Drosophila melanogaster: one gene and its partner. The protein of the gene in region 1 interacts with the protein of each later gene in a pairwise test. Each region holds a gene or a part of one and is shown on either strand. Other genes may lie near its edges. The genes, in order: M7BP and Cftr.

Region 1 (16,541 bases):
CATTCATTGATGATTATCTTAACGGTTAACAGAGGCTCTGCGCATTTTATCACCCGGGATGATGGCGAGGAATTTTGATGTGAATGTTGAGCAGAACGGAAAGTCATCTGGTAATGCTCCATGCTGTTCCCCTTCCTGTCCTCGCTGGCCTATCAATGGGAGAACTAAACAAGTGCGAAAAATGAGGAAAATAAACGGCTTGTACAAAACGCTGAAGGTAAGACTTGCAGGTTTATTGTTGTTATACACTGAAAAATAAATCTGATATATCCATTGGCATAGCGGTGGTGTATTGTCACACCCTGGGATGTCCACTTACGGAGTCCGTCCGGAACCGTTTTTCCAGTGCACCGCATGTTGTTTCTCCATCTCAGGTGAGTGTGTCAGGTGCAATGGGCTGCTTTGGATGGCATGCTGGCTTAGTACGAGTGTCGGCGAAAAGCACATAAAGCGAAAAGAAAACGCAGTCGAAAATAAACTCAGCAAAACCCGACTTTGCCATGTATCAAATGTCTTTCAAAGGTAGTTAAACGCTTCCTACTCCACGCAGAGCCAAGTACCGCGTAGAGTACCTAGTTGGGTCAGAGTGAGGCAATAAACATAAACCAGGCCCAGCCTTCCGCCTCTTTCGCACTCCAAAGACCCCGAGGTAGGGTACCATCCAAACCGACTGGCCGGCCCATAAAGTATTTATAGCTGTCGCTGTCCATCGCTACTTTCGCGCGACTTCCTTCTAACTGAACTTGTGTAACCGAATCTTCAGTGGCCAGTCCCGGTCTCCAGTCTCAGTCCTCAGTCTCGGCCTCCTCTGTCTTCTGCCTCTTTCTCCGGCTGTCACTCCCTCTCTTTCGCGCTATCTCCCACCTTCAATCGCTTCCCTATGCATACAAATGAACGTTTTAGCACACGTCGCGCTAAGTGGAAAAGTTTGAGCAAGCAAAAAGGCTGACAGGAAGAAAGAATCAAAGAGCTGGAAATCAGAAGACAAAACAAATGGGAAGAAAGCAGACAGGAAAAAGTTAAGTACTTGGGAGAACAATTCCAAGCAATGCAAATGATTATCTCATATAAGCAGGGAAATATATTACTGAGCTTTATAATGAGTATATTAGTATAAAGTAGAATTATTATTAAGATTTCAGATTTAATTTTTAAATAAAATATTTATTTAACACTTATAAAATTAGGTACTAGGTTATGAGTGCTATTCCAAAAGAAATCACATCTAGTTAGTCTAAAGATTGGAACCGTGTAACTCCAGAAAGGGTTAACTGTGCACTTTCCATGCCCTAGACTAAACCGTAGGCCCTAGTCGAACTTGAAATCGTAACCCGTTTACCAACCCCTCCCGAAAACAAGTTCTACCCCAAAAACCGAATGCGAAATGTGGAAGACGACGACAACTGGCGAGGAGTGCAGAACAAAAGTTTGCCGCTAAATTTTCGTGACAGCTGTTGAGCAGCAAGAATACAGAGAGCGGCGAGAGAGATATTGCCAGTGCGAGTACGAGTACGAGAGAACCGACAACAAACGGTAAAGCTGAAGCAGCGCAACTTCGGCAAGCCAGACTCAGACTCGCGGCTCAAAGCGTGCGGCTCTCCGCTCATTCGCGTTTCAACCTTCTGCACAAACGGAGTGACGCTCGAAATCGAGGAGTACGTGAACTGGCCATAGGCTATGTGGTGTACGATCTTACGAAAGTCGGCGATAAACTCAAACTCCGAACCCCCGCTCCCCGATCTCCGATCAGCGAACCCCGAATCACGAACCTCGAACCTACAATCACAAATTACGAACCTCGAACCGTTGAAGCGGGACCTCGAAGGGCAGCCCTTTGAGCCTTGTCTAAAAAACGAAACATTCAGTGCGATTAAGTTGGTAGAGGGGCCCTGCACTCCTGCCACACTAAACAAACTATATATATGTATATGCAGATATTCGTGTGTACATAATGGGTCACTGGAGCGTGCGATATGCCCAAAGTGACAGCAGCAACAACTACGGCGACTAAACGTGCGACTCATGCGCAAAGCAACTGACAGAAACACAAAGGCGACAATAACGAAAAACGGAAAGAACCAACGGCAATGGGGGGACCAAAGGGGTGACCAGGTGACCGGGTGCACAGGTGAACAGGTGTCAATGTCAGCCGAAAACTAAAGCAAGGCTGCTGCTACAGTGCGAGTTCCAAAAGGGGAACCAATTAGGTGCACACTACATTAAACAACTAGCTGTTTTAAAATAGCGAGCTGAATCATTTCAGCTTAGACCTCAACTGGAGGTCTAAGGATATGTGTAACTTAAAAAATAATGTGCAATGTAATGATTAAGCAAAATTGAAGCTTAGATAAAAATGTTAATCAGTGCAGAATTCGTGAGCAATTGCTAAAACTGTTATTCTTTATCAACAACTTACTGAGTGGACGATTGTACTAAGAAAACAAAATAAATGACGCAGATAATTACTCACTAAATGAACTTAAGTAAAGAAGTAAATGAGCTTATAATGAACAAATGGTGAAGTGAACCTATGGAATATCTATAATTAATATATGTGAAGTGTACCCTCCACTTTCTAGTATGCATGTGGCTATGGACAGACTCGAACGTTCACTTAAATATGCAGTTCGCTCTCTCGATTGACCACTGTAGTTAGCGTGCACTTGGCTCGAACCCTGTGCAACCCCCGATTGTGAGGAATGGCCACAGGTTGCACTTCCGTTGCCATTGATTTTCTGCGTGTGTGCTTCAATATGTTTGTTCGTTATTTTCTAGTTAGCCACGGCTGTGAAAACAACTTTTACAAACAAAAAAAAAAAAAAAAAAAATTAAATAACAGACATTTCACCCGTAAATTGAAAACGAACAAAAGTGAGCAAGTAACAGAGGGAAAAATGAGAAAACTGAGATAACCAAAACCAATCGGACAGCATCGGTTAACAGTATTAACCAGCGACTGGCGGCGTCTCACTGCCAACTTCCGTTCATTTAAGCAGATTGTTGTTGCAGCCCCCAGGGGCAAGAGGCACCCCCCGTTGGAGGGGGGGGGGGGTGGTGTGTGTGGTGGCAGCAGCTCAGTTCACCACAAAAAGAAACTCCACAAAACGCATCATTGGCGTGGAATTGCTTTGACTAATTTCCCAATGAATCGGCAGTTGCGGTTGCGCCCTGTGGCTCCAATATATGTATGTATATATGTACATATATATGGGTCCATGTGTGGGGCATGGCTATTAAAGTTGACCGGGAAGAGAGTGTGAAACCGTTAGTAAGCGCTACTCTGACTGCGGGTCACCCGCTCCTCACCCGCAGCTTGATAAATAGTTTCCCTTCAAATATTTGCAAATGTGCACTGAGGGAAAATAGTGTCCGACTTGGTCCACTTTCGTCCCAAATACCAGTGAAGATGGCTTAATTTACTGTCGTCTCATAGAAATCAATTGATGCCACAAAGGTCTTACTCATGAAAATCTTTGAGGCTTAACAGTACACTTATACTATACTTATACTTATACTTACTTGCCTTGAATTTATATATGCAGCACTTTTATGTCAATGGGAAAGTTAACACATTTTTTTCCCTCTGTACAAATGAGCTGTCATAATTAATTGAGCCATCATCAGGCCAGCGAAGCTTGAGCACAGCCTTCTAGCCAGTTCTCCGGATGGAGTTGACCCATTTGCCGGCGACCCAATTGCATCTGAAATTGTTGTCTAATTAATCATCAGATTAGTTAGTGTAACAACTTAATTCGACATGCCATGCGAATGCCGCAAACAATTGTGTGAAAATTGCACAAATCCAACTTGCAGATACAAAAACAGGCACACCAGATACATACATACATATGTCTATGTATATGTGCAGGTAAATCTGATGCATATTGGGTAACACACTTGAAATGGAAATCAATTTCAGTTGACCAACCTCAACGAAAATGATATGCAAAACGCCGGATTTAGTTTTGGTATGCATGCAAATGCACTTTTAATTGCCGCATTGTTTGGGGAACTGCATATCATGCTGTTGCACAGCCTAGCCTATCTTTCGAATCCGCAGCAAATCCCATTCGGAGAATTTCCACACATCCAGCCGGGTTTCACTCGAAACTCCAAAGAAATGACTTTGGCGGCCCGCAGGCCACCACTTTTTGTTTCCCTTGTCCGAAACCATCAACAATCGCTGAGCACTGAAAATGAACAACGAACAGTCTGGAAACCGAACAACAAGTGCGTTGCTGCTCCGGCCATCCATCTATCCATCTATCCACGTATCTGTCCATCCATAGATACTTCGGCAGACGTACTGTCAGCGTTTCAAGTCTGCCATTTAGTTGGCCAAGAGCAGAAATGCTGCCTGCTGGCCGAGAATTTCTCTTTTTCCAATTTGTGCTGTGTGCGCATTTCGGTTTCGGCCAGTTTCGCTTGCCTTTAGATTTGCCAAATAGTTTTTGGGAGCCTGGGGCCTTCGGCTTTTTCCAAGATGAGCCGCTGAGCCACTTAACCCAATGCCAGCCAAATGGGTTAACCCGCCCCGAATCGATGCGAATCGCAGCACTCTGCGTAATTACGTGCCAGAAATTAGCATATTTGGGCGTGCGAACTGCGGCTATAAGTGCACATTTCACTTTGGGTGCAGCAACACACTGAGATACAAATGTATCTCATGAATATCATGAAGTGGAAGGTGACAGACCAACGCGGATATTTGGGGGGAGCTTTTTGAGATGCGTAGCGATGAGGCATCGCCAGATTCCAGGTTATCTGCAGCTGGGCGGGGGTTCGTTATCTGCCGTCGCATTTGTTTATGGGTCTCTGCCGTAAAAATAAACCAAAATTCCTTTGATTGCAGAACGAAAGCAAACGCTCCCAGGCACACACATACACACACGCACACCATACCAGCAGCAGTACCAGCACCCCGTAGGGGAAGTCTTGAATTTGTGTATCGCGCCGGCTGATAAGCTGCTCCGTAAGCGACTTTTATTTTCGGTGGCCCAAGTGGAGGCAGTGCGGCAGTGCTCGCTTCCAGTAACAAAACAATGCTCGTAACTGGCGCGTAATTAACACACAAAAACGCGCTAAACAAAAAAAACAAACAAACCAAAAGCAGCAGTGAGGCGAATTTGTTTGCCAAAAGTGTTTCTTTCATGTGCGTGAATGGAAAACAGTGCCTGCATGAGACACTGAGTGCGGAAATGGAAATGGCCTAGGGCCGCTCCCGATTCACAAGCAACCGACATACACACACACCACACACCGCCCAGCGGCGACAGCAGCAGCAACATGGCAGGTGAAGTGCCAGCAGAAACATCGCCAGTAGGATGCAACACCAGCAACAGCCAGGGGAGCAGTCCCCATCCCGATCCCATCCAGCAACAGCAGCTGAACTCCAGCGTGGACAGCGGAATTGCGGTGCTCGAGGCGGAGTCGCCGACCTTGAGGAGGCGCCAGCGACTGCACCAGTGCCAACGGATCCTCCAGGTGTTGCAGCGGGATCAACTCACCCACCAGCAGCTGCGCGATAGATTAAGGTGAGTGCCAGATTTTCAATCTTCTGAAGCATTCATTCGATCCAATTTAATATCAGAGGGCATATACATATATATTTATTTCCATCATTCAATTCGATGTTTTCAATTTGATTGACAACAACTTGAAGCTGTGGAAGTTGGACTGTGCCATGTGGCCAGAACGGAAGCCACAGGCAGCTGGGGGATTGGCCTGAGCCGACTTGGGTGCGCATGGAGCCCACAATCTTACGGCAAACTGCTCTGGGTGTATGCATCTGCATTTCGCAGACTGCAGGCGGATATCAATTTATGCAAATTTGCCGGCCTCAAAATGGAAATGACAAAATCTCGGGTGCAGTTAGTCAGTTAGTCAGTCACTCAGCCATGTCATTCGTACAGCCAGAAATCTTTCCGTGAGCAGTCGGAGTCTTCTGGGAACTCTTTTTTAGACAATTGTCATGGAGAAACCCGCTGCCTCTGACCACCGAGCTTTCGAATGAGTTTGCAATTTGGTTGGGAAACTGTGGCGGGGAAGTTCCATTAGAATGATAATGAGGACCAACCCAGTTCGGCGATTGTAATTGGAAAACCTCTTTGAACTATATTGTTGTCTGTTTTCAGTGTGAGGAAAGATACACTTTATAGTTGGATAATTATGCTACATAAACTTATATAACTATGTTATTGATAGAGAAACAAGTTGGAGTCTCTTCATTGTTTTTTTTTTATAATATTTCAGGATAGAGTTTTATAGAATTATAAATACGAATAGAGCATTCCGGAATCGACTGGTTAGATTGTGGAGCACCCAAATGTATGGCCCATTCCATGATAATTTCGTTTTCCACACGAGCTTCGATGCCCGAGGAGCGGAGTGGCAATCTTATCGAATGTTTCATAATTAAGTTGATTAATGGCAATTAATTGCCGTAAGCTTTGCATGCCCAATGGCAGGGCCAATCGATTTCGTAGGTTTTTCTTTTGGCCACAAACTCTTGCCACCATCCTCCAAGCGGCGGACATGTGACTGGCAGCTGCCAAGTGGCATATGCAATTGCATTTGCATAAGGTCCGTTGGACAACGTGGAATGCCAGAGAATAGTGGACGGGGTGGGTGGGTCATAAGTGTCCATATTTCTGCGGCTCAATGGGGATTTACCCGCCAACACCCACCCACCCCCACCCCCTCAGTTGCATGGCCAACAAAGCTCTGACCCAGTGCGCCAATAAGGGCCAGTTCCAATTTGGTTACTCGCCCGCAACGCACACAAATCCTAAAAAAAAACCACAAAAAATTTAAAAAAAAATTTAAAACCCTGGAAACATTTGGCCGTAGATTCAACACAATTGGAAAGAGTGTACACCCGTTTGTGACCTCACACCCGAAATAGTCTTGACACTTATCTGCGACTTTTTCGTCGCATACCGAGATATATATATTTATATATCTCTGGACGCGAGCGGAACTCTTATCAAATCAACGGTCGGTCGGTCGGTCGGTCGGTCGGCTATATACGCGATCCGCCATAACGAAGTGGGCAAACAAAATCCAATATAATGCCCATATACCCCAGTTATATATTGTGCAAAAAAGTAAACAAAACCGAATTCAACTTGGCTAAAACAAACCTGTCGCCGCTCCACTCGCAGTCGGAGTCAGCTGCTCCAATCGCCAAGTTAACTTAACTTGAAGATCGTTGGCACGGGGGGCCCTTATCCACGTGATCCTAATCAGTTTGTTGTATGTTTTGTTTCAATTTGTGCGTCATGCAGTCGGGATTGTTAACGCTGTCGACGGTTTGGGCTTTTTGAAGATGGAGCAAGGTGATCGGCGGGCGGGCGATGGCAATTAGCGGACTGAGTTCGTGTGGCAAGCACCTGAGAAACATATTGCCCGAAAAGTGATTGATAATCGTCGTTCGTAACTGCAAACAGAAATAACAAGACAAGCGAAATTTGTGGTAATTATTTATTCAGATATTTCGCCAGTGAAGTTCATTTCGGTTCAGTGGGAAGATTCCACTCCCAAAATATTACAAAAAAACCAAACAAATTTATAAATAAAACCCACATCTTTAATGCCAACTGAAGTGAATAGCACGATAATTAAAATACATCATTCTTAGAACCACACACACACACAACTGATGCTATAATTTTTGTAAATAAAAAAATGCAAAACCAAAGGAGATTATGCAACTGCCAACTTCTATAGAAGATCTCGATGAAAAAAAGCAAAAATGTCGATAGGAGCTTTGCAAAAAAACACATACAGACATTTATCAAGTTTAATTAGTGCTAATCGCAATGTGCAAAAATAAACACAAAGGAAAACACTTAGGCAATTAAATTAACGTATAAATAACTGCTAGTACGTGATTCGAACTGCAGACAAAGTTTTTTCTAAACTTCTCTCAAGTGATTGCATCTAAACTACGAGATTTGCATACTTAAATGAATAATGTTCTTTAAGTGATTTATGACAACAATTTCATTTATCCTTCTTTGCATTATGCTGAAAATTATTTATCACTAATGGTCACGACTTCAAATGTGACCAATTGCACTGAGTTGTACCTAAAAATATTTATTTACGTGATATTTTCGCTGGGAACTAATTGTATTACTGGTTTACCAATTTTCTATTCAACTTAATAACCGAAACTTAAATGCCCTGCTCAGGGTATATTTACCCATACAACTTCATGTCGAAATCTAGGCAATTTAAATCGAACAAACAAAACTTTTGATAAGGCTAAGGCCAAAGTATGTATTGGCCGAAAACCACGTAAAATGTCCACAAAGAGATGATAGCCGCAAATGAAGAATGTTCGGCTCTGATAAGTAGTAAAAAATAGTTTGGTGTAGTATTGTTCCGGATATTTCATTGATTCAGTATAGTTAGGGTTTTCAATCGAGGTGGAATTAAATCAGAGCTGCTTCCGATAAGTGTGTGTGTGCGTGTGCTTCTGATGCAAATGCCGCGAAATCGATAGCGTAATTGAATTCAATGCGAACTCCGCAGTGCCTGAAGCGCTGGATGCGCCCCTACATCTGCCTCATGGAGCTGCCAATCAACCGACCTGGAAGCGGGAACCTGCTGCTGGGACTCACCTCCGTGGTGGGTCTCATTGGAGGCGCCTATCTGCTGCAGTGTGGCGCCCAGCAGCTCTTGGGGTGAGTTAATCAAATGGGAGATAAATCAAAATATAGCATCCGATGGATACAAGTTCGACTACGTGAGCTAAGCTCCGCATCCGCACGTGCACTTTGTATGCTGCAGATACAAATGCAGCGCGAGATAAATCCGAATAGAAACTGAAACTAAACTTTCTTGACTGCAACTTCAACCCGGTTACGTGGCCATCGTTTCGCATGAGTTGATTGCGTTTGCGTGTGGGAAATGGCCGAGCTGAAGAGATTTGACATAATTGTTGCCATTTCTCCAGTCGCCGTTTTCCACCAGCTACCATTTGCCATTTGTTACTTGCCCCGTCGACCGGGATGGCGATGCAACTGCTCACTTTGGGCATCGAGTGCGTAGCGTCGCCTTAATTAAGGATTGCGCAATCTCCGCCACCTGCCTCCAATTTATGCAGCACCTGTTGTGTCTCGGCGATGGCCTGCCGGTCCGTTAGACGTTTCATAACATTGCCAGTCCAGACCCAGACGAGCTGTCATTGACTCTTCGCGAATCCGTCCACAAGAACGATAGAACCTCGAAGAATGGCCAGCGGAAGTCGTTGGCCAACAAAGGGCACAACTTTCCACCGCCCACCCGCCGCCAGCTGCTTTTTCCTTAAAAAGCGTCACAAATTGGCAATAACAATTGGCCATGGCTAACAACGCCCCTCAATTGTTGGCCTTTCGTCACCTTTTCAATGGCATCTTAATTAGCCGCTTTGTTGACAGCATTATTTGTATTATTATAGCGACGGCAGTTACACATCATTTTTCAGTGTATTAGGGTAATATGCGTATCGAAACTATAAGGCTCTGAGTAATGCATATCTTTGAGGCACAATTTCTTTATATATTTAAGCAAGGAAAAGATTAAAAACATAAACAGAATAATAAAGTTTATATGAGTACCATTTTCTACATACGAGCTTTCAGTTCGCTTATAATTCACTTATTAATTTCCGGGTCTTAAAGACGACATTTTATGAACGACATTCTATGAAGCCAAACGAGTTGTGGAACTGTGGAAAGTCAGCCAAATGCAATTAACTCTGGCCGATGGCAGAGTTTAGATATGCACAGAAATTCTGGGTTTTATTCGCCATTAAAGTGAGAAGAAACCAGTTATCTTGGCCTTGTGGCAAGTGAAAAGCCGCAAAACGAAATATTTTTAGTGCTTTCAAAACCAATTGTGAGAACAATAACAAGTTGTGGAAAATGTTTAAACTAATGCGATATTATTTACTTACTATTGAGCAGTATTGTTTTCGAGTTTGCTTATGGTTAAGGCTGTTGAAAATCGTTTTCTACGTAATAAAGCATGCTTTTAGGCATATGAGTTTTATTTGAATTTAAATAAATTTAAGATTTGGCCAGGTGAATTAAGATATTCAAGATAATTCATGAATCCATTTAGATACGGTCAATGATGATCTCACGAAAGCCGGATAGTAAACTCGGAGATAATCAAAAGATTATTACACTCATATCAATAAAACAATTTACGATGCCACTTGCTCGCTTCTACCAAGAATTTATTAATCTCCGGCTCGAAGTTCTGGGAAATTCTGTAGATTATGCTATCAGAGGAGCATTTGTGAAAGCTTCTGGCCCTGTTGGGATATTAATAACCTGACACAACCTGATGGCTTGACGCTTTCTTGTGCGGGAATATGCTAATGGCGGACACATGAGACTCACATACATACATCATACATATATTAACCCAGATTCCCAGCACAGATTTCTAGGGAATCTCGAAATCTTAAGGCATGAGATCGCAGCTCGAAAAGTTCCCCGGGCTTTATGCCGATGAAAGTGTAGCGGCAACACCGTGGCGCCATTTGTTGCCAAAATAGTGATTAAAACTCGAATCCAGCTAGAAGTCGATTGATTAGTTAATAAACCGCTCACAGCATGCATACATTATATACATAGTATTTTGCCAGACAAGAACCAAGCCAACTCGTTTGCGGAATGTTTCTCACAATTAGCATTTGGAAATTAATGAAGTTCAGGCCAAAAATAAATTAGTCGACAAATGAATGCAGCAGACAGGCGATGATGCTCGATGATCTTCGACCACGTATGTATATCTCCTCCAAAACGGTTCCTGTTCGACCAGGTTTCCAGCTCTTGGATCAGATCGGATTGGATCTGATCGGACCACAGTGATCGGAGAAGAAAGGCGATAAATCTGCATGGAAATGTGCGCAGTCATTGCTTCCAATCCGCCACATACACATGTCGACCCGTCCGACGGGATCGTGGGCAGGGGGACTCCAACTTACGTCATTGACGAGTTTGTTTAGCGCTAGAGAGAGAGAGAGAGAGGCAGTGGTTTCCCGCTCTCCACGATCGAAACCGGCATGGGATACGGCTGTGGCTGTGCCAGTGTGGTTCTGTGGAGAGGCCACAGCTCCATAGCTCTGGCTATGTGGAGCCATAGAGACCCGATCTCAGCTGTTGACCGCCGACTCTCAAAGCCAACTGCGCATAACAAAGGCGAACCTTGTGCGAGAAAGTTGTCAGTGTCGTGGGACGCGGATCGCGATTTGATAGCGAATTGGCATTAAGTGCTTCCATTGGCGAAATCGGTTCAACGCGAGTGCCATGCCAAATCCCAGCAAGCCCACCGGCGCTAATCAGTCGACAAACATTTTGAATACCTGAAAACCCGATCCCGACACCTGGAGAACAGCCCCCCACACCACACCACACGGCAGAGAATCCACTACAGATCCAGCTGTCGATCGAGTTCCAGGGAGAATGCTCTTCTCCGCGGTGGTGTTGTGCCAGGTGGAGCGGCTGATGTGCCTGCCCATCAGCTTCGCGGTGCTGGGCTTCCTCTTCATGGCCTGCACCATGGAAGTGGTGCTGCTCAAGTTGACCAGCACTGATCCGGTGCTCGGACCGCCCGCCGAGGATTGGGAGGAGAACGGGGGCCCGGATGGGGAGGAGCAGATCTACTATGAGAATCTGGAGAACAACTATGAGTACTGGGCGCGCAGGAGGATGCGATTCCATCGACAGCGACAGCAGCAACAGCACCAACAGCAGCAGCAGCATCTGCCCACATAGAAGACTTAGGCTAGAATATAAGTGTATATTTTTAATTAGATCGGTTTTAAGCGGCTATACTGACTGAGCATCTCTCCTACACACCTTGTGTTTTCAATCGCTTTCGACAGCCTGTGCAAGTTATTTGAATCTTTCGCAAGCGTAATGTTTTCGATGACCGTATACGGTTGGCTTTTTCCTTAAATTATATTTGTTTGTTTGTAAGCGAAATTGCGAATTTTGCCATTTGAATAAGTTGAGCAGCAATCCGCTTGGCGATTTCTCATTTCGAGCACGTACAAGACACCCAGGAATTCCCTTCTTCTCTCTTGTGTAAGAACTGTAAGTGACTGACATAATCCGAATGCATATCGAGGCAGACAGACGCACTGCCTCTTAGATTGTAAGTTGTTTGTGATAGAGCTACATGTATGTATACTTTAAGCCAGGCCATTTCGCCTAAGTTGATTAAACTCGGTTCGAAGCCTCATTGCCTTTTTGTTTGCCTGGTCCAACGGGTTTGCGTTGTTATGCAATTGGCGGGATTTAACAGCCGGGAGAAAGTCAATTGCCCCATGCAATTGCGTTTGGGTGGGGACTGCCCACTATTTAGTTGCCGGGGGAAGTGGTGGTCGTCGGTCCAAAAGCCAGAAGTAGCACGATCAATGGCTACCGACTAATTGAGCTGAGTTTCAGCCAATGACCTTCTGGCCGTTGAATAACCCCAGCTAATCGCCAGAAACGACCTGACTAATCGTCTTGTTTCCATCACCATCCAACATTCTCGAAATAACGCGCGCTTCCTTCCGCCTTGTCTCTTCCAGCAAACTAGCCAATAAGAAGTGGAGGAAGGAGGAGTCCAGCAGCGAGGATCACGCCTGCAACGTCTGCTGTGCGGACCTGGATCTGAGCAGTGCCAAAAAGTGAGTAGAATTCGTGTCTCCGAAATATTGCGAAATACCTGTTTGACATTGTTGATCTTACTGATATCAGCATTTCTGCCGAAATCTATTCGTTTGTTTGAACAACAGTCTGGCTTCTTGATAGCCATATAATAAATAATTCGAACAAACACATTTGCAAAGTATAATTTGCAAAAGAATTGGTTGCTTTCTCCTGCATCGGTTGAGGTATTTACTGCTCTGTTCACCGAACTAAAAAGAAACCAAATTTATTTATGCAAACAAGTATAGTTAAATTTAAATAACTTTTTTTACGAGAGATTCCACGAGAACTAAAACCTTCCATTCTAAATAATAAATTTCCATAAATGGCTCTAAGCTCATAAATAAATATCTCTTTAAGTGACCTGGAAAGGTACTGGCGAATATATTATACAATTAATGATCTGGGAAAACCTTTTGCAGCTACGTGACATGTTGCACCTGCGAAAAATCGGTTTGCCGCGGGCCTAAATGCGCCGACTGGCGGCCCAAGGACGCCAAGTGGGAGTGCCAGCTGTGCCAGAGCTCCAAGGAGTCGCTGGCCCACACCTCCTCGTGGGTGGCCGAGCAAATGTCCTTCAACCAGCATAAGTTTGTCTATCCGATGAGGGCTAGGAGCGAGGTGTATATACCGATTGTGGGCGATGGCAACGACAGCAGCATGCGTAAGTGCGGTTCAGGGAAAGGAGTACTTGGAATATCTAGTCTATACTTGCAGAATTCGAGAGCGTTAGCCAGATTGGACAAAACGCCCACATGGACGAACGGGCCAAGATCCGCGAGTACGTCGAGGAGATTGTGGCCGAAATGCTGGGCGGCAATTTGGACCACGTCAAAGTGGGGCAGCTGTCCAAGAGTGAGAACTGTAAGTACCCAGATTGCCTGAGATTCGATTAGAGCGAATGCAATTTATGCAATTTGTGCAAATCAAATTCAATTGGCACGGCAACATTTTTTGAAATCTTGCTACACATTTATGTTGCCAAGGGCTTAGCAACATTTGTTGCGGGCTGACAACCGATAACTCAAAGCATACTTTTAGGCAAGCTTTCAGGTGAGAGCTTGCTGAAAAGACTTTCTGTCTGCTGTTTGTTTTGTTTGCTCATTAACCGATATTTGCACCCCTATTTGACACACACACACACATCACACATCACACACACTACACACATGCAATCAGACTTGCAACTCTTTGATAAATTCCATGCGAAGCTGAGTAACCTGCTTATCAATGTGGAAAACAGTTTGTGCGCGCGTGCGCTCAGGGGAGGTAAGTAATCGGTAATCGATAATCACTAATCGATCGAGCACGCACGCTGTAATCGTCTGTTTTGTACGCTAACCCTTCTAACATCGATTACTATTTGTTGTAGGCAGTATTTTCAAAACTGTGTTTGAATTTAAGCTTCCTGTTTACTTATTAATATAGGAACATATATATCTTTTATTATATCAATGGTCGATATTCTATTTCCAACAATATAATATTTGAAAAACTAATTATTATCAAGTTTTTTACATAAGGTTAAGTTGGGAGCATTCAAAATATTTTTTAAATAATGCTTTTTAGGACACAATTCTTTAAATATATCATTGATTTATTTGATAAAATAAAAAAAGTATTAGTAATGATTAAAAATTGCTTTTACCAACTTTGACCTCGACCATTTATACAATTTTGAGCTAAGACATATCTTAAATATAAAATCTATTAAATATACACCTTTTTCAGTAACGAAGTACTAAGTATTTAACTCATCATGTAGTTTTTGTTTAAAAAAGAGTATATATATTAATCGTAACCAAGTAATGTGTATTTCTTGCCCTTGATAAAAACTGCTGTTTGTATGTTGAGGCACTCCACCAAAGACCCTAAAACAAATCTATGAATCAATGATTGCGGCTGTAGTAAAGCTATCTCCTATCAGTGGGTCATAACCAAGGAGTCCAATTAAAATGGCAAAATCAACAACCTGCAGCGCTCTCGCTCCTTGCAGTCTCTGCCTCTCTTTTCAACTCACTGAAATCGCGGTCAATGGTGGTTGATAAGAAGCGGCAAAGAGTCAGTTTGTCGGTGATAAGGCCTTAAAGCTTTGATAAGGTTTTTTTAGCTATTGAAGTGCCGATGACAGCGAGAGCATTATGATACAGCGCCTGCCAGGTACTTTTTCGAGTGCTGCGCTGCCCATTGTCCCAGCCTCAGCTCAGATGACAGACAGCGATAGGCATTAATCATACGCACCGTTGGCGGCTGTTGCTCACCAACAGGTTTGGTGATTGGAAAATTGGCGTAAATGTCTTACTTACAAGACCACTCAAGATGCTGTGTCTGAACAGTCGATTGATTTGGTCACGCTCCCAGCTTAGTTCGGCGATTTGGGCGATTTGGGCGGCAAAACGCCTGTAAATTGGTAAATTGCAAAGCCAAACTGCGCCCCTCGACGAAATCTCGCAACCAGGCCCACTGTACCCATACAAAATATGAACTTGAGTGTGTGAGTGAGTGAGCGTTTAGACGCTCGCCGCTTACCGCTCGGCAATCGCACGGAACGTAACTTCAGTTGCCAGATGCGACGCGTCGCGATCGTAACGCCAATTCCGCTCCGGCCCAAAAAGTCCGTCCGAAACGTGTGTGATAACATGGAATAAGCCAACAACATACCTCGCGTAGTCGTGCATAGAACAAGAATTTCGGTCAGCAGATAGAGGAACTTTTCCATCTGCCAGATAAGACCTTAAGTCAAATAGACCAAGAGCAACGCATTAAGTGACGAGCTATCAGCAACCTTGACCCCACACTAAGTTGGCAAAAAACATACATACATATAATGAGCAAAATTGAAATCAATAATCGTGAGGTAAAACAAAGCGGCAGATGAGGAAGAGACCCTAATCAACGCTAATAAATATTAATGATCCCCCTTCATCCACGATATACCCGCTTGCAGCTGGAGCTCCCAATGTGTAATCCCGAGATTAACAGCGAATTATGATCGTGAAAAGATGATCGCTGACTTTCAACACGCTTCCGTAACCCAAATCGCTCTGCATTTTATCATTGACCTTAACTAAAGTTAAGTAAAGTAAAGCTCTGGGCCGAGTTGGCCCCTTGTGCACCTAACTTATAGCTGGCCAGTTAAACGATCGAAGTCGGAGCAGTCGGAAGGGCCTTTATCGAGCACATGAACCCACTGGCAGGCACGCAGGCATGGCGGTGAAATTAAAAATGAAAATAAAGTGGAAAACGGCGAGTGATAATTGCCCGAGTGATTTTGCCTGAACCCTGAACTTTGGAGTCGGACAATAGACCCGGAGATAGAGAAGTGATCTGATCCGATCCGGTTGGTTCTGTCCGTCCGTCCGTCCGTCCTAGGGGCCAGTTTGTGGGTCTATTTCTATTGGTGACTCGTTCTGGATACGAAAGTGTGCGTCTGTGACACCTTTTGCACACCTGAATGACTAACGGTGGACTAGCTGGCTGTTCGAGCAGCTAGACATCACTAGATAAAGAAATATGGGCGGCATTGTAACGCAAAATAGATAACTCGGGGTTATTCATTATGCGATGTGGTATTTACCGCAATACGTTAATAGACTTAAAAAAGTCAAAGGAGAATGATAAATATGCGAACCATAGTCGCGATTTTCAGCCCCACTGGAGCTCCGGCTGTTCAAGCGTTTAGAGGAGGCGGTGACATATCAAATTTATGTTTTCAGCTCAATTAGGGGAACAAAGCTAACAAAAAAAAAAAACCAAACTCAAATATGTGCTCAATATAATTAGCAGCCCAGCCGACCGTTATATCAATGAATGCTCCAAACAAAACCGAAACACAAACGTAAA
Region 2 (16,939 bases), on another chromosome or scaffold:
ATTACAATTACTAAATACATACCAAATTGAATACATATTGATGAAAAATAATAAATACTGGCGAAAGCAAAAAAACGAAACATTTTTATTTTATTGAACAACTCTCAGGCTCCAGGTAGGCAAAAAAATGTGGAACGCTTCACGATTTTGCGTGTCATCCTTGCGCAGGGGCCATGCTAATCTTCTCTGTATCGTTCCAATTTTAGTATATGTTCTGCCGAAGCAAGAACGACGTTAAATTGAAAATAGGTCTATATATACGAACTGAGTCTGGAAAAAGAAGTTGAGAATTATAAAAAGTAGTGAGCACTGGCGCCCTCTCTGCTTGGCGAGCTAACCTTTTCGCCTCTTGGCTGAGTAGGTGGCGTTTCATTCTACTCTGTAAAATTAATGTAGAATTGAAACACTATGGTCAAAAAATACTTAGGGGCATAAGTTATAAAACGTATGAAATGAATTTTTATCAACCTGGGCTATTCAAAAATTTTCGAATTATTTTATGTATTTTTTTTAATCGTTTTTCATTATAGGTTAAAATACACTTTAAAAGGAATTCTTTCCTGTAAAATAAATATAAATAAATATGCTTTATTGACAGAAAATTTGATGTTTTTGTATTTGAGTAGGAGCAATCACAGGTGAGCAAAAAAATGTGGAACGCTTCACGATTTTGCGTGTCATCCTTGCGCAGGGGCCATGCTAATCTTCTCTGTATCGTTCCAATTTTAGTATATGTTCTGCCGAAGCAAGAACGAAGTATTGAGGAAAACATACCTATATAAATGATCAACATCAGGAAAGAGCAGTTGAGAATTATAAGAATTGGCAAATGGTCTTAAGAACCCTCTGCTTAAGATTTTCAAAATTTCCTTTAGAATCAAAGTGTCCTATTGTTCGTTTGTTGAAAACACAGTTCGATTTATTGACTATAATAAATTGATAGTTTTAAATATAGAGGCACGACTAAGAGAGTTTGGTTTTGTTTTGGTTAGGGACCAAAAAAAGTATACATAACGAATAAAAAAGGATTTAAGTGCAAATGGTAAAAAAGTGTCGAGTTTTTCTTGAGTTGATTGTGCTGTAATGAGACTCTGCATTCGGCATTTGACTCGGCTTTTCCTACTCGTGCCGTATTTCAGGCTGCAAGTCGAACCAAGAATTCAAGCCAGTTTGTGTGGTTATCTCGGCATCATCCAGAGGAATTTTCAGCTGAAAGAAGAGAACATATAAAACGATTGTAGATGTGACAAAAAAATGTGGAACGCTTCACGATTTTGCGTGTCATCCTTGCGCAGGGGCCATGCTAATCTTCTCTGTATCGTTCCAATTTTAGTATATGTTCTGCCGAAGCAAGAACGAAGTTCACCCGGATATCTTTCCTATATATACTGTACTCTTGCAGAATATGTACTTGGGAATCATAAGGATGCGAAGGACGTACGCGCTGTGTCTGTAACTAAGGGGTTGCTTTCGGGTACCTACCATGCCAATGATGGGACTACCGCCGGATAGGAATCCCTTTTGGGTGCACACCGTCACCTCCAGTTCCGTCTGCCTGAGTTCGGCAATGGAAATCAGGTACTCAAAGGATGCATCGTAGACGGGGTTGCAGTTGTCCTTGATCACGCTCGTCTTGCGTTTCGACTCCTTGGTGCGTCCAGGCAACAGATACAGCTTAACATACGGATCGGGGATATTGCTGGGATCGCGAAGTGGTATCTTCTGGATTTTGTGTATGGTCACGTCTAGTTTTTGACGCTGGGCGCTGTAGCGGATCGACAACTGCATTCGTCCAAGGCCATGTTCGCCGGGTGAGGAGGTGGAGTCTGGAAAGCGGTGGGTCAGCACAGAGGTGGCCAGCTCGCTGATGGGTTTTTCGCTGGAGGTGGAGGCCGACATGGCCGGGGAGATTTTCGTAGCCGCCACAGGATCTTCTTCACTGATGGGCGATTCGGCGGACAAACGCTTGCTGGATGCCTGAGATTCCTAAAAGCAATGGCAAATTAGATTCAATTAAAACAAAAATTGTTTATATAACAAAGTAAAAGAAAAAAAAAAAGAATCACAGATTCTCCCCGACGGGGAATTGAACCCCGGTCTCCCGCGTGACAGGCGGGGATACTAACCACTATACTATCGAGGACGTTGAAAATATTCGAGCAAAAACTAATTCTTATAGAGGATGTGGTCGTAGTTAGTTTCTGTATGGTTCTGAAAGGACCTATCTTTGTAACTTTTTATGAGATTCTCTATAGTCACATTCTACGTAATTCTGCAAGTTTATCGTTGAGTTGTGGAAAACTGAACTCACCTTAAATGCTGGAGGAGAAACTGCAGCAACATCTGGTGTTTTCACGGAACTGCTGCGCGTGAGCGCTGCCACTTGCTCCAAGGCATCCGAATCCTTGTCAATCTCGCCGGGCTTCAAAATGCGCAGCGATAGCGACATATAGAGCTTCGATTCCGGTCCAGACTTCTGGAGTTGGAATGGCTGCTGTATAACCTCCATATTGAATTGCTTCAGCAGCGTGCTGAGTGTATAGGTATATTGGCCAATGTCGTTTCCTGTCTTCTGGTCGTAGATCTTGATGTTCAGACTCTCGTTGTCGGGATTGCTGACCAGGAAGGTGAAGCCCTGCTCCCAAACGGGAGAATCATCTCGCATTATCATGGCAGTCTGCTGTTTTTGCTTGTTCACGCTGCACACCAGATAGGGATCGGGTTTGGAGCTGGATCGAGCTTGCTAGAAGTGGATATTTCATTTAATTGATTTATTTATTAATTCATTTCCAATCAAGCCCACCTTCAAATGCCTGGCTGAATCGATGAATACACTGAGTACCGCCGAACTCATGCTGGTCACGCGTAGGAGTTGCGTTTCCAGCAAAATCTGTTGCAGATCATTGGGATCGGCAGTGAGTTTGTACCATTGCAGGCGGACATGCAGAAGTCCATGCTTGGCATCTTCCAAGGTGAGCCACTATATATTATGAAACATATTATTTTCATACGTGTAAATGCGAGAGTTCTAATTACTTACACTATCCACAACGCCTTTCTTGATCACGCTGGCAATATCGATGCTGGCTCTATTTTGGGTAGTTAAAAAGTTAAATTAGTTCACGGCAAATATGATTTTAAATCAAAAGAAAAAAAAAAAGAAAATAACAAGAACAAGAAAATGACAACTTCTCAACGGGTTCCCTTGAAATTCAAGCTATTTGAGGGCATCTCGTTCTGAGTTCTTGTTGGGTTAAGTTATTGGGGCAAGTGTGTGTCCGTTTTTCTTGTATGTTCTTGTGGATGAGTTCGTTGGTGTTCAATCAATTAATCGATCAATCAATCAAATAGATGGTTGCCTAACCTGCCGAGCGACTCGTCATCACTAGTACGGTCCCAGTCAAAAAGTCTGAGCACGAGTATGGCATGCTGCGAGACCTCGACCACAGCCTGCTCCATTCATCGTTCGAATCAAAAGCAAGTTAAAAGACATTTTTCGCATTATTATTGGTTAGTTCCAGCGCAAAGTCTACACAAACTACGGTCCAAATGTGGGTGGATTATTTACAGGATCGAATCTAACTACTTGTACAAAATATTTGTCATTGGCATGCCGGTGATTCTGGTTTCATTCATTGTGTGTCTGTGGTACAAAGTGCTCCAGCTTTTGCTTGTGATTCAAAAACATGTGTCAAAAGGGCATGCAGATTAGTTTTGAATCGAGTCATGTTAGGTCGGCATGGCGAAAGTGTTGAGATTTTCTTATTAATCAAATTTACTTCAGCATAGTATAATAAACTCAAATGGTAACTACAGTTTAAATGATACTAAAATACCAATCAAACTAATTGATGATTGTTAACATAATTCAAACATTAGGTTATGTGAAACAATAAGTAAACACAATTCAAATGCTATTTGTTTAATCAAACTATTGGGGTCACGAAAACCACTTCAATTGGCCAATTTCTCATCACTTCGCTGTGTACGTTTTTTTTTTATTTTTTTTTGTGCTTGTTAGTAAACGTATTCAGAAGATAAATGAAAATCAAGAGATACAAAAAAAAAAACGAAGATAGAACAAACAAATGCAGTTTCATGCGGCAATACAACCTGCCCAATACATCATCGCTCTGTACACCTGGCATAGTCTGATCATAGTCCCACAAAGAAAACCCAATATAGTGACCAATGGTGGTAAAAATACACGCCTAGAAAAACGAAAGTGTGTGAGTGTGTTTCCTGCGGTGGCAGAGAAAGTAGGCAAATCCATAGAGCAAAGCGAAACGGAACGAAACGAAACTCAAGGATATATAGTCAGTCACTTCTCAGTCACTTCATGCAAAAACGAGCTCTCAACAAGGATTACTCACTGGGGATTTTCAAGAAGGATTTTTGGGGTGGAGTGTGTTGGTGGTGTTGTGTTAACTCAACAAAAAGTGAAATGATAATATTGCTTACCTGCCCAGGTTCTCGTCTTTCTTGGAATCGTCCGAGTCCTTCAATTGAATCTCGACAAATTGACCCATTTCAATAAAAACAGTAGCCTGCGTTCAGGCGCCAAACAAAGTAATCGAGTGATGATAAAGGAATGAAAAATCAAAATGGAAAATAACACAAGGGCAAAACAACGAACTATTATGCAATAAATCGGTGGTTTTTTTTTGTGTTGGATTGTTTCATGCAGCAATCAATCGACAACATCGGCAGACTACAAAAAGCAAGGCAAGAAGCGCAGGGGATCCCACGGCGGGGAATCCCCGCAGGAATCAGCCAAGGAATACGTACCTCACACCAATAGTCCCACTTGGGATTCACATTGTTATCAATGATCTGGGTCTTGAACTCCTGGGCGCCCACATTGATGATGGCATAGGGATCCGACTTGCCTTTGCCCAGCACACTGATGTCCTTCTTCATCAGATCCTTGGCCTCGACCACGTGAATGCGCAGGATGCCCTGAAAATTGCCATCCATATATAAAAAAAAGATTGATATTAATAGTCATTGTGGACCCACCTCTGGTTCGGGCATCTTGAGGGCCACCGCCGAAACCTCTTCGCTGAGTGAAATGGGCAGTTTGTTTGGCAACACCATCACATTGCCAATCTGCTCCACGATGATCCTACGCAGCAAGTCACTCAGACCCGGCATGTCCATAAAATCAATCACACCCACCAAATTGAAATCGATATTCGGATTGTTCAGGAAGAAGATCTGCAGACCGCCCACCAGTGGCATCGATCGGATCAGTGGCTTCATCACCACTCGCACCCAGCCATGGATCTGAAAATCCTTGATGCCACCCTTCATACCACCCAAATAGAAATTGATGTCGCAATCGCTGGCATAAAACAGATCCAGATCCATAATGATCTCGTTGCGATCCACGTTCTTATCGTAGATCTTCACACCGCCGATCCGCGGTGGAATGGTGCCCAGAATAATGCGATCGAACCGAAAGCCATGCATCTTGTAGTTGGCCAGAGCTAAAGCCACATTGGGTTCGATGGTTTCCTTTACCAAGGTGCGTGCAAAGTGATTGGCATTGGGCCACACTTGTTTCAAGATCTGGCAAAAGGATAACAGATAGGATTCATTCATATGGTAACTGAAACCAAATCCCACTCACCTTATTCAACCACTCGCAGCGCTCCACATCGGGAAAGTAGACCCACGCGGGCAGCTCGTCGATTCTGGCCAGGATTACGTCCTTCTCGGACGCCAAAGCCGAGGCCTTGGCAATGTCGCGCTTCTTCTCCGACGTCTTGGCCAACTGGTCGCGTGCCACCGAGAGGATGACCGGCGCTATCAACCAGGCCACCGACCAGCCCATGTAACCCACCAGATAAATGGATCCCACAATGGCCACCTTCTTGCCCAGCGTGTAGAACACGGAGAAAATGCTGTTATCATCGCTTACGGATTTTGTGGCCACAATTGAGTTTCCATTTGTCGTCTGCGTGGGCGGTGTACCATTGCCGGTGGGCGTGGTCGGCGTTACCACTGGGGATTCGTTCATTTTTTTAACCTCCACCAGTGGCACAAAAGGTTCGGTCTCCGTGGGATCGGGTGGGATGGTGAACTCCGCCAAGGGCACCGATGGACTGTTATCGCTGCAAGAATTCAAATGTACACATTCCATGAGCATCTTGTCCAGATATTTCCGATACTAAAGCTCTCTGGGCAGCTGACTCATTAGCGTTTGCCGGCTAAGATGCCGGCATCGAACTCAATGCTCATGATTGCGATGATGTCATACTATATTGTGCTATTAGCTAGAAATGTGATCTTGAAATGCCTCACCGACTATCCACGATTCATAATTATAGTATACAAAACGTTTATGAACACTTCGTTTGTTTACTTAGCTTAATTTTTCACTTCTTCAATACACTCTCGCATTGCTCATACGCCATGTGGGTGGGGTAAATTGACACAGTTTTACGACTTTTCTGATGGTGCTCAACCACCCACCGCGTTACCTGTTGAGTGGGATACACAAAATAGCTTTCATTTCGGACGAGGGAAGACCAACTTTGTTGGCAAGTTTGCTTATCACAAAGGAAAAGGTATAAAGGTATTGAGTTACCCATTTAAACTTTGAAAAAGAAAACTTATTTCCTTTCGTTTTTTTTATGGTAAGCTCTATATTTGTCCCATTTTTTAAGCGAAATTAATTTGAAAGCATTTAATAGTTTCTTTGTAAATAAGTAAATAACTCTTGATATTATATTCTCTCTCTCCTGAACTTTCCACAGTTTTCCGACTGTTTGTTTCACGTTTTCCACCCAAACTTTTCTTTTATTTTCGCGTCTGCCTTAATTATTCAACGCTTAGCAGCAGCTGTTGACTTTATTCAAATTTCCCAGAATATATCTCATTGTTTACCTTTCATTCTTTTTCATGCGTTAGCTTTGGGGACTCATTATAATATAGCCGTAATTTTCTTTTTGCAGGTCATACAATTTTCATGTGCAACCTTGACTTGAGTAATCGTACAAAACCAAACTTTTCAAGAGATTTACAACCTCAGCATTTCAGCATTTCAGCATTTCACGCTTTTCAACGCTTTGTTAGCTGCTAACAACAAAGGCGCCCAGAAAATGTTCACTAAGCCCGATTCTTGGAGTGACCAAATGGGGAGGTAGGATTTTCCTGCTCCGAAAAGGGGAGAGAGGGACACCCTCTCCGGTTACGAGCTTTGCTAATTCAACTTTAACTGCTGGGGAATTGTTACATCTCGTTCTGAGCTGATGGGCACCTGTTGAATAGCCAGCCACCAGGCAGCCTTCTGCCCCCCAAAATGGGGCATCCCAATGAGGTAAATATATGTAGAGCGAAGAGTGAAACCCGAAAACCGAATACGAGAGAGGGACTTAATTCTAGACTGGCTGCCAAAGCTTGTCTGCCTTCGAAAATGATGATGGGGAGACTACTTCCCATTGCCAAGAACTTGAACCGAACACGGTTTTATTGTTTTTTTTATTTTTATTTTTTTGTTTTGCTCAAACTCAGTTTTTGTTATTTTTTTGGTTGCTCTTCAGGTTTCTTGGCGATGACGTAGTCGTGGCTTGTGAATGTTTGGAATACTTGAGTGAGTAGCGAGTGAGTATGTCGCTTGTGTCGTGTAAATGTGCTTAAATAAATGATAAATAAATAAATTAATTGTGGCATCACCTCATCGTTTGGGTTCTGCTCTCACTTGGTGTTGTGTTTGTTTTTTATGATTTTTCGGTTTGGAAAAACTTTGTGTGCATCTGAAATAAAGATTTCGTTATCAATTAAATGTGCAGCCATCAAGATGGTTTTATGCATAAATTAAAATAGATTCAAGTCGAGTTTGTGGGTTTTTAAACCCTGTACGCTTGCATTTAATCATATTTCATATCAAAAGTTTCCGATTTTGGCTTTTCTATAAATAGAAATCTTTCTCTTTCTGCATTTCTGTACTGGTTTTCATAACGTAAACACTTCGAATAGAACATTTTTAGCCTTTGCAATTAATTGAAAAATTATGCATTTCTTTGTACATATTTAGATAGCTGGTCGGAGCTAAAATTCCTTTCATTAAATATTTACACACACAAAAACCACACCGAACGGAAAGCCAACTAAATACGTATTTATACATATATATATTGAGGGGCGAATATATAGCTGAGGACGCCGCGAATGTTTTTTTTTTTTGTATATTTTTATCAAGTTCTATATTTTGCAGTAAACAAATGAGTTTTAAAAAAAAAAAAAAACGAATTTCGATTACACATTGTAGAAAAACGGGAAATAAACTGATTATACGCACCGAGAGAACGGAACGAATTCGTAATAGACCTGATTACTTCACTTCAGTATATTTAATTTTCGAAATGCTGTAATAAACGGAGCGAATTCAGCGTCTTTTCATTGTGAGCGGCGTTTCGGAACTAAATTGAATTGAATTCAATTCTCGTAGCCCCAGCCACTAGAAGAATCTCTCGACTTTGAGTCAAAGCTCGCCTATTTGAGTGGAAGCTACATTGCCGCAGCAGCCAACAGAAGCACCAGCAGCACTGCGGGATCCTTGGCGCCATGGTTTCCCATTCGCTGTGTCCTGGACGGAGGCACTGTACAGCAAGGTTGCGCACACAAAAGGACCTCTTTGTGCGACTATTAATCTGAATATTAATGAAGAGCTTAGTGCTTCTGTACAGCCGCAATCAGAGAAAACTTAAGCTGCATGCATGCGTAATTCGATTGGCAAGAAGTGCAAGGATTCATTATGATTTATGTTAGAAAATGTTTAAATTTTAGGTATACAAATTATAGAAAGTAATATGATTTGCATGCCAATGTTCATATTTACTAAAATAGGTATTACCTACGTAATTTTATGTAATCATTTGTGTTTGATGATCGGTTTTCCACTCATTGGTTGACCAGTGTAATCGAATTGATTGTCCTTCGTCCTGGGTCAAGTGGTAATTGTTGTTGTTAGTCGCCTGCTAATTTTTTTTGCTGCCCGACTCACTTGTAAATGAGATAAAATCTACGCTGTGTTGTTGGGTAATTAGCAAAACAGTTTGAGAGCCACTGCCGGATGACGCACACGGGCGTAATAAACCCGGTTAAGTGAGCAGCCATGAATAAGGATTAAGCGGCATTTTTTTTGGTTTTTTTTTTGGTTTGTTTGCTTGCCGCCTTGTTGCTCGATTCCGCTCTGTTTTTCATAAATATCAAATGGCTGCGTAACACATGGCGTATGTGTAATAATCATGCCATATGCATTTTTAATGCATCGATGTGAAATCGAAAGTTAAACAATGGGCGTGAGCGAATTGAGTTGGTGCTGCCGCACGAAAAAAGCGCAAAATCAAAAGCAAACAAAGTGTGTCCGGTAGGTAGAGCGTACTTGAACATGGCCTTCAACACTCAACACCCACACTTGTCCATAGCCACCCATGCACGCACACCGTTGCACACATTGTCTGGCTGCAGGACATGCAGGAGAGCAGAAGAACTCCGCCGAAGGACAATGGCAGCTGGCAGGCAAATGGAGTCAGCGGATGTCGGATGTGAATCCCTGCGTCCGCACACACTAAGAAAATATATAAGCGAAATTCCGCAAATTTCCTGCGATTAAAATAGCCCAGGGTCGCATTATATGATTTAAAGGATCTAAAAATATCCTATTGATGTTTTGTGCACAACATTATTTTATATGTGATAATCACATAATATTCAAGCAAATGTTTTAACTTTATTATTATTTGATTGGTTTTTATTTAGTTGTCCGATTTATCCTCTGTGTATTTGGTAATCAAGCGGATGTTAGTTGCTCCTTTCCGGTGAAACAAACATACGTATTCTCATATTCCCGATTAATGACACAATGAAGCCTGAGGGAAATTTCGAGAATATACACACACACTCTCATCCTGTATCCTTTTAAATGAAGTAACATAACACACACACACCAACATGTGGCTGCCATTTAATTGCCCCTAAATATTTTATTCGACCTTCTCTGATTTGCCTCTAACTCATGTGAGTTCCTTCGAGGTTTTTCAACTTTGAACCTACTTTTCGGGAATGGGGGCGTGACGGCGGGGGGGGGGGGTGGCTGGCCGTAAAACTTTCGCACCGCCAACGTGCCATAAAACTTAATTCAAAACTAAACTGAGACAATTCCCGGGCGATAATCGAGGTCGCACGATGTCGACGCCTTGACTTTATTGAACGAACAATGTAAACAATTGGGAATATTCTACTTTTTGTACTGTTTTGAATTTGCAAGAAAATTGCGTCACATCGACTTTGATTTATGGAGCGACGCCAGTCGAGCAAAACGATGGAAACCTGGGAGACCTGGTCCACTGAAGGTAACGTTGATGGTGTGCAGCAGGTCAAGCAGACACTGAGACACAGTGAAAATATTATATAAACATTTGTGTTTTTTTTTACAGAAATTTATTGTATGATCAAGATTATTTGGGTATATCACATTAAACAGTATTTAATTATATGATATGCTCATGAATTATTTTTTCATAAATTAACTCTGATTTTTATAAGTGCAACGGAAGCAGCATTGATTGCAGTACAAATCTCTTAGATACATTTAAGGGAAACATTAAAGGAGGTCAGAATCGAATTACAGCCAATGCTGATTCAAGGCTCCACAGCTGGCAATTCAATCAGAAAACAAGCAATTTAAACTTGCTTCAACATTGTTGAATTTTATGCAGTGCTTTTTCCATGAATTTCGAGTAAACATTCTAATCACTCGTGTGGAACTCGGGCGAACACGTTTTAGCCATTTCATCATGGCTCAGGTAAATGTTTTTGGGGAGGATCCTTCTTAAAGCGTTCCTTTCTCGCCAGGCATGTCAAACTTTTTCCTTTTGACTACGTGTGGTTAGCCAAAAAGAGAGATTTAGCCAAGTTGTTATATGCAGATGATGTTAACGTAAAGCGGCCTCAGGGAAACATATAAAATAACTGACATGGGAGCCGGGCAAACAGGCGGACTGCAAATGAAAGTTTCGCCAACCCATTAAATTATTCTCCATTCGAGGCGTGTTTCAGACTTTGTGTTTTTGCTCCGTAATCCGAATCCATTATTGGGCTTTAATATCGGTCGCCGGACTGACCGCAAATGGGTATCTAACTAAGTACGATGTGAATGAATGCCTTTTGCCCTATGAATTATACACAAGTTTGTTTCTATTTTTTGTGAACTGGCTGTTGGCCCGAAATGCCGACAGTCCTCGATTCCCATACCAAAGTGAAGAAACACGCACGGAAATCGTTGATTGCGGCAATAAAAAGAAAAAAACAATGGCAACCAAAAAGGCGGCCGATTATTAATGGGGCTTGGTCGGTTCAAAGGATACAATGTCAAGGATTGTTTGAGAAAAACCCAGCAGTGGGAAACTAGTTTCGAATATACAACTTCCGTTTAAGGATTTGGAATTCATGGCTCATAAAACGAAGAGTTTCACACGTTTTATAGTGCGATTGTATTGTTCAATTGTAATACTTAAATCTTTAAAACCACCTGCCTGAATTTCACTGTAAAAACTTTCAAACTATCCTTGCATTTTAAGCCACTTCCTGCTGGTATGTGGATCACACATTTAGTCTGAGCACGGAGTGTTAATCTATCTGTCTAATTAAAATATTTGTTTAATTATACGGGCACGAGAATTCCGAGGGAATTTCAGCCAGTTCCATTCCCCAGTGCATATAAAGCGTTCCACTTTGGGGGGAACAACTTAACCCAAGCGCAAATCCTAAACTTTTTCCCTCGCCTGACTCGTCGTCACCAGCTGCAAGGATATCTGAGTGTCAGTGTGTTTGTGACTAACCACAACCACAGGACCGGAGACGCCTTAATGTGTCCACATTTTAATTACCCTTGATGTCGAGTGCGAAAGCCTGCCACCGAAAAGTGAAAGGATAAACAACAGCAACAACAGTGGAGCAGCAAAAAAAAAAAACAAAATAATAACAGTTGAAGGCTTCATGGAAACGCGCTGGCTTTCATAAATATTTCAAATGCCTACCAAAGTCAACCCTTCTTCTCTGACAGCTCTTTCTGTCACTTGACACACTGCGTTTTGTACTTGTTTTTTTTTTTTTTTTGTGGAAGTTTCCTTTGGCCAACGCTGCGTATGTGTAATTTACATGCTCCAAGTTGAATGAAACCAATGGGAGCGTCTCTAGAGTAGCGATAAGAGCGCCAAACCTTTTCGCAGGTGAACTTGGGGCAGTCGCCACTTAGGACTTTTGCATTTTTAATGTTACACACAAAAAAAAACCATAAACTAGCAAAACTTACATTTTGCTAATGGCTGTGAATGATTTTAAGCTTGCCCTTATTTGATAGCTTACCTTAGGACGGTTTACTTATGTTTAACTTTCTTCACTTGAACGGCAAAAAAATTAAAGAGTTCATAGTTGTCAAAGGACATTTACAGTGGTCTCATTTTCCACTAAGCCTTTGCCCAGTTTTAGAGTCACTGGTCCTTTTTGCAAACAATGTCAATGGGTTACCAAAAATAAAATTCAATTGTGCGGCCCCTTTGTAGTAATGTTTCCTTTCTTTTATTACGCTTTTTTCAGCTGCCCGGCACACAAGTTTCTGTATTGATTCGGAAAAGTCGCGCGCAAATTTCCTCCGCAGGCTTTTGGAAAACCATCCGCTGGACTTTTCACATTAACCGTGCTGAGCGTTCCGTTGTACGCGAGTCGCACAACTGAAAGTGCGCTAACTGAAAGCGAAATTCTATTGCCTTCGCAATATCACTCATACGCAGTGTTTGACCTACATCCTGTAACAAGGTTTTCAAGAGCGCAATTGAGTGAAAGAGCGAGCTTTGTTGTTTACGTTCTCAGCTATTTTTGGCGCCAAAATAGAACAACTGTTGCGGTGCGTGTTTACACAAATTGAGAGGGGGTTTTGGGGGGGTATGTGGCTAAGGACATAAAATGTTGTGCAGCTGTATTAATAAGTCCTTATAACTGACATTATATATGTATATAATTTATAATTATATACATAATTTCATTAAATATTTAGGTTACCATTACATAATGTTTCATGTTTAAATTATATACAAAAAAATCAAATCAAATGTATTCAGAATCAAATGATTTGCTCAACAATTTATATTTAACATAATTATACATTTCATATTGAAAGCTTTATTGTTTTTTACATTTCAGAAGCTTTTGTTCTCTCCCAAAAAAGAGAGGAAAGCAAGACCGCGTAAAATTTCGTAAAAATGGAAGTGACAAAATATGAGAAATTATGTCCAATTGGACAAAAAATGGATTGAGCACATGTTCTATCATATGAGAATGAGATTGCAATTCCAATTGTAACTCAAATTGACTAATATCTGAAATGTTTAAAAAATTAGACAAAAATATATGTACTAAATGGTAGTATTGTAAACTACTTAAAAATCACGGGGAACTTGTTGCGTTCGCTATCGAAAGCTTACCATCTCTATTGACTGTAGCCATAAGCTTGTTTGTTTTGTATTTCATTCGGTCCCGAACTTTTGAAGGAGGAGGTCGTTTATGGAGCACACGGTTGCGCATTCGTTGGTCCGTTTGTGCGAGTGTGCGTGAGTCGGCGTTTTGTGCTTGTGTTCGTACTATTTCTGCACGTGCTGCTCCGTTGCGACCAATTCGGGTGATACAATAATAATAATAGAGCACAGTAGTGTGAACCAATTTATGCTCTGATAGCACAAGTAAGTGTAATTCGAGTGATTAAATCTAACGGTGAATTGTTAAATTTGGAAGTCAGTACATTCGCGTAATAAGTGTCGTATGTATGTACATGTGTACATCCGATTTGCATGATTGTGTGCGCTTTTGGCTCTTTGTTTTCGATGGTCGCCTGGGTGCTCAATGTGCTGTTATGTCTGCGTCTGCTGTAATTCTCCTCCGCGTTTACGTCATAAACCGTTATTAAAATTAGTTCCTACCATTACGGAATACTTTCCAATGTGTAAGGCGGCACTGAAAGCGATTGGAATGCCGGTTTTCTAGCAAACAACCACTTGTTTGCCCGTGAGGTCGCTTACCGATTGGCCCAGTGCTCTTACATATATACACATGTAAATATATACAGTAGGACTTCAATAACATGGATTATCATATTTTATTAACAAAGAAATATATTCCAATTGATTAGATAAATTTCAAAGCCCTTAAAAATTCGATACGTTTTTCCGCCTGAAATCATAATTACTAACCGACCGAGTCCCACCATTTAATGTTTCACTGTAACAGACTTGCCGATACCGGTAAAAATAAATTAATCACTGGTTTACAATCTGTTCGTTATGCGCCTGTCTGTGTTTATTGAGCGCGTTCATAAATTAGATTTCGTTGGAAATATTTATGAAACCTAAAGCGCTGAATTGGTTGTCACAGTTGTTGCTTACAAAACTCGTTCTAAACAATTGAAACAGCATTAAAATTCCGCATGTCGCTGAAATAATTGCAATACTTAATTCTAAGTCATAGCAAAGATAGCGGGGCTAATAAAAATCACCGCCTTTTCTAGCTGATATGAAAATCGGCTATAGTGGGTAAACTTTGAAAAACCGAAAACATTGGGTTTAAGTAGTCTTAATTGTTTTAATCGAAATGGGAAGATGTACAGCACGTTTTTCTATCTATTTACGTAAATTCATTGGCGTCGTATGGGCTTGCGCCCATACAATTTAAATCTATTACTTTGAAAAGGGGAGCGGCATTGAAATGGCGTTGGAACTGAACTTTGTGAGTGCTTTAATGCTATTTCACAATGAGCAACTGAGCAGCATGAAAATTTCCCGGTCAACAACTCCACTACAACTACAAACATGTGAAGTTTAATCGAAAAGTTATAATTTGAAAAGTGAAATTTCCGCTTGTAGCAAGTAGGTCAAAATAATTTCGCCTGGCTTATAGCCTCAACGCCAAAAACATCCGTGGTTATAAAAAGAAATATGTACATATGTACGTGTCCAAACACCGGTATAGCTTATCTGGGAAGGTCTCTGGACTTTTGCTTGCCAATTAATAAACATTATGATTATTGTCATACAAAGATGAGCAAGTATCGAGTTGGGGGGCTCCAAATGCGTTTTGATTTACGTTCCCCGTGTCGCCTGCTATCAGTTACAGACAAAGCAAATAGCAATCATAGACATTAAGCTAACGACCGATATCGTGTGACTGACCCTCGTAAGTCTATGCTGAGCAAAGTTCAATCCACGCATCCTGGGATTCTTCATACAATCGCAGTTAGTTCATAAAATTTATCTAAATAGGGGTTGTCTACTAAAACTAACTAACAATTTTAAAACTAACTTCGTTTCTAGTCACACGTAGACCTTATCAGTCACGAAAAGACTATAGTTTATGGTCGTCTATTGAAAATATCAGGAACGTATGTGTTTTTCCTCCAGTTACATATTTTCATATAGTAGTTAGTAAGATATAGTTATATAGACAGTAGTACTTTTGCTTTAGACTACTCTTTATTGGTCAAGGTCTTTGCTGATAAGAAAGTAGCTCTTCCTAGACTAGTCTTCTAGCAATCAACTAGTTTTATACTACATACAAACATGATAAAGAATGCGGGCGATACAGTATACATTGGTTATTTGAAAGTCATAGATATTATATATTTTTTTTTTAAATTTTTAATCAATTTCTAAATTAAATTGTAATCTGCACTTCCTGCACTTAATTAAAACATGTCATATTACCAATGTTATTGGCGAGTATAGTTCAATCACGCCTTTTATCTTTAAGCCTTTGATTATTTAACATGAGCTTAGTTGTGGCTTGTTTGCGATTGCAGGCAGAAGGAGTTTCTGATCTAGACGAGAGCTATCCATCCATATGATAGCATGGATAGCAGTGCAAAGCCAACGCGGAAAAATCCGCGACAGCATGCAAATATTATTTCACAACTAATATTTGCCTGGGCGATACCATTACTATATCGAGGTTCCCGCAGAGGCCTTAATACGGATGACCTGACACAATGTCTGAAGGAAGATCGATCCGAGCAGTTGGGCGACCGTTTGGAGGAGTAAGTACTGAGATCTAACATCCTCTTTAACTGACAACAAACACTAAGGAAGTTTGACTTGCTACAAAGTCGTATTAAACATTTGTCAATTGTGATCAATTTTTAGTCAATGGTTTAAGGAACTAGAGCGATCTCACCGCAAGAAACAGAAGCCGCATCTCAGAAACGCACTTTTCCGCTGTTTCCTAGGACCCACGATCATCAATGGCCTCATTTGCTTTATCTACATAGTGATCAAGTGAGTTGGGGGTTTAATTTAACTCATTATATCATAATTAATCTGTTTCTAGGACCTTAATTCCAGCTGTTCTTGCACAGCTGTTGATTCAGTTTCAAAAAACTCCTGTTGCGCAATTAAGAAATATCGATGTCAATGATATTTCAATATCAGATTCCCTGAATCGAACAGCACGGGCAATTCCAAACTATGTGCTGAGTCAGGCTGTCGCCAACTCTAGTGGATCTCCAGGGGATGGTGAGCTTTAAACAAAGGATTATCATTCTTGATTAAATTATACATATGAATCATGCATATTTCAGCACTTTTCCCCAAATCGCTGGACAAAGCGGGTCCACTGGAGCCGATTCAGCCTCCAGTAGAGGAAGTGGATCACAATGCAACCGCTGTGCGAAGCATCTTGGATCAGACCGTCGAGCACATGTGGAACGATATGAACAGTCTGGGCGCCGTCCTGGTTCTTTCGACGCTGTTCTGCTGCTTCCTGTTGCACCACGTCGATCTCCGACAGCGCCTAATGGGTGCACGGATGCGAATAGCCTGCTGCTCGCTGATCTACCGGAAAACTCTACGGCTCTCGATGAAAACGGCTGGTCAGACGCCAGCTGGTTACC

What was found.
Region 2: the proteins of M7BP (region 1) and Cftr interact in a two-hybrid assay, tested with the Drosophila melanogaster proteins (one large-scale study listed by BioGRID).

What each region holds. Positions count from the first base shown.
Region 1 is NT_033778.4:7,621,639-7,638,179, forward strand, and holds the start of M7BP (Myosin-7a binding protein), read left to right. Parts: upstream 1-7,162; 5' UTR 7,163-7,474; intron 7,475-8,538; 5' UTR 8,539-8,553; coding exon 8,554-8,690; intron 8,691-9,856; exon of another isoform or gene 9,857-11,462; coding exon of another isoform or gene 11,463-11,774; exon of another isoform or gene 11,775-12,577; coding exon 12,578-12,676; intron 12,677-12,714; exon of another isoform or gene 12,715-13,120; coding exon 13,121-13,362; exon of another isoform or gene 13,363-13,415; coding exon 13,416-13,562; exon of another isoform or gene 13,563-13,581; intron 13,582-13,877; coding exon 13,878-13,967; intron 13,968-15,256; exon of another isoform or gene 15,257-15,555; intron 15,556-15,832; exon of another isoform or gene 15,833-15,895; intron 15,896-16,414; exon of another isoform or gene 16,415-16,541. Other genes in the region: CG43341 (uncharacterized protein), read left to right, coding at 11,463-11,774.
Region 2 is NT_033777.3:24,540,506-24,557,444, reverse strand, and holds the start of Cftr (CF transmembrane conductance regulator), read left to right. Parts: upstream 1-13,530; 5' UTR 13,531-13,745; intron 13,746-14,019; exon of another isoform or gene 14,020-14,114; intron 14,115-15,853; 5' UTR 15,854-15,902; coding exon 15,903-16,087; intron 16,088-16,193; coding exon 16,194-16,325; intron 16,326-16,377; coding exon 16,378-16,562; intron 16,563-16,627; coding exon 16,628-16,939. Other genes in the region: Esyt2 (extended synaptotagmin-like protein 2), read right to left, coding at 1,120-1,209, 1,483-1,986, 2,312-2,743, 2,804-2,980, 3,041-3,089, 4,114-4,211, 4,789-4,959, 5,020-5,571 and 2 more.